Linked DNA regions of Drosophila melanogaster. The protein of the gene in region 2 interacts with the protein of the main gene of each other region in a pairwise test. Each region holds a gene or a part of one and is shown on either strand. Other genes may lie near its edges.

Region 1 (3,754 bases), on a different chromosome or scaffold from region 2:
GTGACCGGATCCGACTGGAGGGCCAACTTGGCAATTGTGCTGGCCACTTTACCCGTGTTACCCGCTGCCTTGGTGGTACCCAGTGTCTTTGTTGGCGTCACAGGTACCTCTTCGTCGAAGTACTTCATCAGATTCTCGATGCTGGACAAGTCCAGGTCGGTAACCTGCACTCGGCGCGGTGATGCAAACGAGTTTTGGTACTCCAGGGCGGTCAGGAAGCGATCATCATCCAGCGAGGAAATCTCGAAGAGTTCCTCCCTGGTCATCGTAGCTCGGAGCAGGCCACAGGCGGTGCTGGCATCTCCGTGGCGGCTGGAGCGACGACGTTCCTCGATCTCCGCGTTCAGCTGCAGTAGCTCGCTGAGATCATCACTGTTCATGGCTGCCGTGTCCACTACCATCTGGTTGTGCTTGGACTGGTTGTTCGGCGTGGAATTGCTTAGGACCATTTTGGTATTAGTTTGCTGTCTTGTTGTTGACGTTAGACGTTTCAGTTTGTAACTGTGGCTTTCTGGCATTTTGCTAATAGCTTATATACAATGATCAGGTAAAATATGGATTGGGTGCAGATTTTATTGCCCACCCACTGCCTCAGATTTTCCTTAATCCAACTAGCAGCGATCAGGTAAGATTAACAGCCGCAGCTGTCGGATCGATGGATTTTCCTCGCGCTAACCGATATTTAATTATTTTCGCGAACCTTTCCGCTATAAATATATATCCAGGTGACCTGAAACAAAGAAAACAGGTAGGTAATATTAGGGCTGTGCAATAGATGTAAAATGTAAGGTTCTGGAAAGAAGGGATAACCGAGGATTCACTCGAAAGACAGCTGACGGAAAGTCCTTAAAATTTAAATTCCAATTATTGCAGTAACTCAGCGAAATCAACTCCCAGCATCATCATTATACTGCAACCGAACGAATTTTCCGAGAAAAATGCGAATGTTAACAAGACCCAGGCGAATTGCAGCCACAATAAAAATCACACACTGAAAATTCTTCATCTGACTATTGCTGAAATTTGGAGCGAAAACGAACCGAATTCAGGACCCCAGGGATAAGCAGAACTTTGCTTGCAGTTTGCCACAAAGTGACTTTCACACCGACAGAGCCATAAAATGAAATCAGGGGCTGAGATTTGCGGATGCTCAGGTGGCAGAGCTGGAGCTGATGAGTTACAGAGCTACAATGATAAGTTCCATAATGGGATACATCTTTTAACTGCCTGATATTTAACGATTTTATCTTTAATTTTTGGTTTTAATGCGCTTTTTTACTTTTAGCAAAACGGAGTGCCTATTTTTTTATCACAAAGCTGAAGTTGTTTACATGGGAAGGGTATACTTTCCAAATATTCCAAATTTTCAAGACAAAAGCGTTCTCTAACCCTTTTTTGGGCTTTCTAAAACAGGCCGGCTATTTATATAAATTAGTTAACTTACTTTGTTAAGGATTTCCTTGTTGAACTATGATCTACTTTAGGCAACACAGTATTTAACACGCACAACTTCATAAACAAATTACAAATTAATTTTGTAAACAAAAGACCGCGAAAAAGCGTGGTTATTTGCGCCAAATAACATAGTACATTTACATCGATCTAAGGGCTCATTTGCCGGCTTTACGGAATATCACAGCTGATAATAAAGCCAATCACCACGAATTAAGAATCAGCTGATTGAATCAGCATCAAAGCTCAGTGCTTTTTAAACCGTAAACTAATCTAGACTTTAAATATCATCATGGGCTCAAGAAAATGATTAGAATGTCAATAACTTATATTCTAGGCAGACCAGTGAAGATATGAGAATTCGATGGCTATTAACGGCCAAAACGGCTTACAACTCAATGATACGATAAATTCAAACGGATTGCTCCCGTGGCCTGAATTCTATCAGACGTGCCTTTATTGGTATCTGAATATATTGCTATTTAAGCCAAAAGAGGCACACCAAAATCATTCAGATGGACAGTAGTTGGTCAGTTGGCAAATACCCCAAATGACAAACAAAGCAATCCCCGAAATACCATTCGACGGTGAAAAACATTTACAAACATTGTGGTCGCCAACAGCAGCGGCAAAAATTTAGTGGGTGCTTTATGATAAACTCATGTGGCTGGCGTTCCATATCCAACTGGAATGGACGGGGACGCAGTGGTTCCACTTGCTAAGTAGCCACCGCTTCTGTCGGCGACACCGGAACGCGAATATTTGGTTTCAGATTTTGGGCACTCAATGCAGGGCCATGCAATTTTGAAAATCTGAGCGGCGGCATGTACCCCGCTTTATCAGTGCGGGTTAATTAGACACTACCAGTTCTGTAATGTTGGCAATTATTTCATTGCCGCAAAATCCGTTTACTCGCATAACATGCCCACAATCGGTCTGAATGACGATGCGCGACTTGTAATTTCATCAGCCCTATCAGTCCGTCCGTCCGTCTGTCAGTCTGTCTGTCTGTCTGTCTTCCAGTGCGCCACCTTCGCTGGCAAATCAATCAATTCCGCACAGACCCACATACATACATACATACTTACTCCGCCGAGCGAGCGCACGTGACATGGAACCCCGAGTGGCGGGCAAGACCGCCGGAATCCGGGGGTCAAGGAACGAACCTCAGCCGAGCCGAGTGGAGCACCGCCGTGGCGATCAGAAGCAGCGAGTTTGTTGCTGGCTTCCGACTAACACCACACCATTCGCAATTCGCTGCTCCGATTGCGTCACTCGGCTTTCCGCGTTCCGCTGGCCAAGCGGTTTATTTTAAAACTAATTATAAGCCAGCCCAAATATAATGCACAGCCGCTTTGAATTACATGAATGAATGAAATTCAGCACTGATAAGCCGTTCGACGGAAAGAGGAACTGCTGGCCATATCGCAATAGCCCACACTCAGCATAATGTAGCCGCGTTGGATGAGCTCTGGAATTCAGACTGCTAAAGATGTGTTTATCCTTTACATTTTGCTGACTCACAAGAAACTAGAAAATAATCTGAAACATACCAAATTGGAACCGCAGAATATTGATTTAGATGACTGAGCCCCACACCCCATTTCACATGAGTAGCTCGAGTGTCTCGAGGCATACGTTCTTTATCGCAGAATCAATTCAAGTTTCCCGTTTCTAGTCCATTTGTGGGGCAAAGACAAACGTACGGTCGCCCATTCATCGGAAACAACCACGATTTGGGGCTGACCGCTGTTTGACACGCGGCTCACGCGCTATCATCCCGGCAGGTTGTTAATGGCCCATTAATGCGGTTGCCAGGCGAAACCGACCGCTTGCCACGCGCCTTCAAGACCCACGCGGCGTATGAGCGATTTGCGCGACGACCTTCAACAAGTTGCACAGTGCAACCACCGACTTGGGGCCGGGATTTGGAATCTAAGTCGGATTCTGGATGGTCGTCGCCCTCTGGGCTGCCGTCTGCTCCGCGCAGGATGGGTGTTAATTAGCAAATAAATAAAAGCACGCCGGGTAACACATACGCACCGTGGGCAAGCAAGGAAAAGCACACGTGAGCTCTTCGGCAGAGGAAATCGGCAAAAGTTCAAGGTGCACAAACAGAGTCGAAACATTTTGTACTTTTAAAAAGGTTCTCGCTCACACTGTTAAATATTTCGACTGAAGGAAGCATCCCATTTTCTTTATTTCCTCTGCGTAGGTGTGAGTACCTACCCCCCTATTTTTTCAGTGCCTGACAGCGAACATCCTGGAAGGGCATCTACTGCTCACCGATGTCTTGTCTATC
Region 2 (3,754 bases):
ATTGCCTTGATGCATTCCTCGCAGATCTGAAGGTATGAAACGTTCAGCTCCTGTATTACCGGATTCTCCTCGCTAGCGATGCCTTCTATGATGCCGCTGCTTGTCAAGTTATCGCAGTTTGAGATGTCCAGACTTTTGAGACACTTTAGCTTGGCCAAGTGGATGGCACCAGCATTTGTAATGCTCAGGCAGCCGTTCACCTTCAAGTGCTCCAGCTGCGGATTAGTTTGTACCAAGGCGGCCAGATTTTCATCGTTAACACACATTGTGGCCGACAAATCGAGGGCACACAACTGGGGCTGTGTGGCTAGAAAGTTCAGGATTGTGGTGCAGTTAAGCTGTCTGCATCCGGCCAAATAGAGGCGCTGCAGTTGGAGATTGAGGTCGCAAAGGGCCAACAAAGCCTGGCCAATTAGGGTGTGGCTAAAGTTCAACACGCGCAACGTACGTCGCTGCAGGTTCAGAATGGTGAGGATGAACTTGAACGTGAGCACAGACTCGCTGGGCAAAACGTGATCCGAGGAGCTGGTGGCAGGGTAAAATCTGCGATGAATAGCATTGTGAAAGGCTATGTGACAGCCGGACATGTTAATCGCTTCCAGACTGGGCATGAACGATGTGAGACGCATAAGAATGGCATCCGTGAGGTATTGGTTCTCGCACAGCGTCAGCTCCTTGATGCCGGCCAGATTGCTTGCCAGGTCGTTTAGGTCAGGACAGGAGTTGTTGTAAGAGTCCAGGAAAGAGCCGGACATGAACAGCGGCAGACAGCGCTTCAGCGACAGCGAGTGGAGATGGGGCAGCACGCCCAGCATGCCGTAGAACTGTTTGTCATTCAAATCCACATTGTCCAGAGCCAGGGACTGAGCGGTCCTGCCCATGAAGCGCATCAATTCCTTTACTTGTCCCAGTGTCACGTCCTCGAACAGGAAGTGCTGGAAACGCCGCTCGCAGCGCATCAGATCCACTCCAGGACTCAATTGATCCGATAGCACCACCTTGGAGAAGCAGACTCGCGTGCGCTGGTTAAATTCCGCCTGATCCAGCGCCGCATGCCATCGCTGGCAGGTGGATCCTGCCGCTTGTAAGTCCGAGTAGCCGAGATAGCTGAAAATCTTCAAAACAATCTGGGGGCGGAACAGAAAAAAACAAAATCAGCTGACTGCCCTAACAGGTATATGAATATGCAGATATAGATACGCTCGAAATGATGGATTGGTCACGGGACCGCGGCAGTCCGTTCACATTATATGCTCACCTCCAGCGGCAGATCATCGTATCTATGCAACCCGTACTCTAAGCCAGACATTACTCTATTGTTTTCGGATGCAAAATATTAAGATTAGTACAACCAACTAGCAGCTCCCACCGCCCACTCGCTTCGCCCGCAAACTACACGAAAACTACAGTGTTGACTAACTTAGTACCTGTGCTAGGTACAGTAGGACCGTGCCTTTTTTCTATCCTCACTGGTCTATAAAATACCAGAAGAAAAGTGTACCTTCATTGATTTACCAATTGGAAGTCGATCATGGAATTATTTACCTATTGCTTATGAATGATTTTAAATGTATATCGTTTTTCCTAAAATCAAAATAGGTTTAAATTAGCACAAAAAGCTTTAATTTATTTTTATAAATGTTTGCATCTATGAATCCAGTTAACAAAGTACAATGTGCAAGTACAATTTATTTATATCGATGATATATTTTGCAATACTATTTACTCTTAGCTTATTAGCCGTTACAAGTAATAACTGTCTTTTTTAAATGACTTTTTAGATACCTCTGTTTATAAATACTCCAATGACAACTGCACTTTGGCATTTGTTTGGTAACCGCGCACGGTAACTTTTTTTATGACATCAGATCGAATTGATTGTTGTAAAAAAGGATTTTTGAAGGTTTATAATTATTTCGTTGCCAAAGGATTCCAAACACCGCCGTCGACGTGCCCACAATAATGGCCGATCCCAAGTTCCAGAACCTACCGGGAATAGTAAGTCGGAACTCCGCACCATGGCAGTGACGTTTAAGCTTTCGTTTTTGCCCATTTATACATATATGTACTTTATGTTTTTAGGCTTATGACCAGCCGGACGTGTACGAAACTCCAGATGACCCGGAGCTCGATACATCCGACTACTACGAAGAGGAGCCGGAGAACGAAGCCATCGAGCGACTGCACATCTCGCCGAGCGTCGCTCACAAGCGCTTCAGCGGAGCAACGGTCGAGGGGAGTGTGGACTTCACGGATCGCATTGGACGACGCATGTGCCGGGGTTACGATACGCGCGGCTCCAGCGACTACGAGCTGGTTGGCCAGGGCGAGAAGGAGACGCCGGTGCAGAAGTGCCAGCGCCTGCAGATCGAGATGAACGAGCTTCTGAACGAGGTGGCCGCCTTGCAGGTGGACCGCAAGGTAGCCGACGAGGAGAAGCAGTCGTACGATGCGGTGGCCACGGTTATCAGCACGGCCCGAAAGGTGCTGGAGTCGCTGAAGCTGGAGCAAGTGCTGGGCAAGGAGCAGACGCCTGGAAGTAAGCAGGTGAAAGCACTCATTAGCCAGGTGGAGGAGTTCAAGCAGTCCGGCGTTCTCACAGCCATACCCACGCCTGGCACCGATCTGGCGGCCACGGCCCGCGTAGCCAGTCTAGAGCAGCGAATCTCGCAGCTGGAGAAGGTGCTGGGCGCTCAGCCGGACAAGTTGAGCCGCCTTACCGCCGCCACCAACACCACCAATGTACTAGAGGCAGTGCGTCATCTAAGCACCAAGGCGGCCCTGATACAGCCTGATAAACTGGACACCATCGAGCAGCGCCTGACCTCGCTGGCCGGCAAGATGGATGCTATCGCCGAAAAGTCCAGCGGCAGTGCCCAGGACGCCAAACGAGATCAGAAGATTACGGAACTATACGACATCGCGAAGCGCACGGAGCCAGTGGTGGAAATACTGCCGCACGTCATCGAACGCATGCAAGCCCTCGAGGCCCTCCATAAATATGGTAAGCAATTCTATTTAGCATTTTAGCATTGTGCTTGTTTCTGTAACTAATCAACTTGCTCTGCAGCAAACAATTTCGCCAAGATCATCGCAGAGATTGAGCAGAAGCAGGGAACCATCACCACTAGCTTGGTGAACAACAAGGAGCTGCTGCATTCCGTACAGGAGACTTTCGCCCAGAATCTGGAGACTATCAACAGCAAGGTGGCCAAGGTGGAGCAGCGTGTGGCGGCCATATCGTCTGCCAAATGAGTGGATGCATACCATGCGTATTAAATAAACATAGCTTATATTTATGAAAGATACCTATAATAAAGAGATCTACATTCGAGTCCAGTTCCAGTCAAAAAATAAATGCAAAGTGATCTGGAATTTAAAATGAGTTCATAATAAATATTAATATTAAAAGTGCTGAAGCTAGTTTACGAATATAAAATGCGATGGAAAATAAATCTTTAAATAATTTCGACTATCATTTTTAATAATGTATACTGATAAAAACTATTTTTAAAATTGCACATTGAAACGGAATATTTAAATTGCATACCGTTAAACTCGCAGTATATTCTGGTCGCACGCATTTGGTATTTCAGTGCGTGCCCTGTGGTATATTACGTTGGCTCAGAGCACGGTCACACTGGCCGTTCCTACGGTTCTTAAAAATATTAACGATTCCAGTTAAATTCAAGATCAAAAAGTCTCGTTGCAGCGCAAGCGAGTACAAATTGCATTCACAATTGTGTGTAAGTTG

Evidence for each region. Proteins that work in one complex are often made in the same cells at the same time.
Region 1: the proteins of DCTN2-p50 (region 2) and slam interact in a two-hybrid assay, tested with the Drosophila melanogaster proteins (one large-scale study listed by BioGRID).

Annotation. Positions count from the first base shown.
Region 1 is NT_033779.5:6,370,272-6,374,025, reverse strand, and holds the start of slam (slow as molasses), read right to left. Parts: upstream 1,639-3,754; 5' UTR 1,445-1,638; intron 731-1,444; 5' UTR 450-730; coding exon 1-449.
Region 2 is NT_033778.4:8,889,992-8,893,745, forward strand, and holds DCTN2-p50 (dynactin 2, p50 subunit), read left to right. Parts: upstream 1-1,840; 5' UTR 1,841-1,962; coding exon 1,963-1,998; intron 1,999-2,082; coding exon 2,083-3,004; intron 3,005-3,070; coding exon 3,071-3,255; 3' UTR 3,256-3,348; downstream 3,349-3,754. Other genes in the region: CG8272 (uncharacterized protein), read right to left, coding at 1-1,127, 1,259-1,309. UniProt on the Drosophila melanogaster protein: Modulates cytoplasmic dynein binding to an organelle, and plays a role in prometaphase chromosome alignment and spindle organization during mitosis. May play a role in synapse formation during brain development.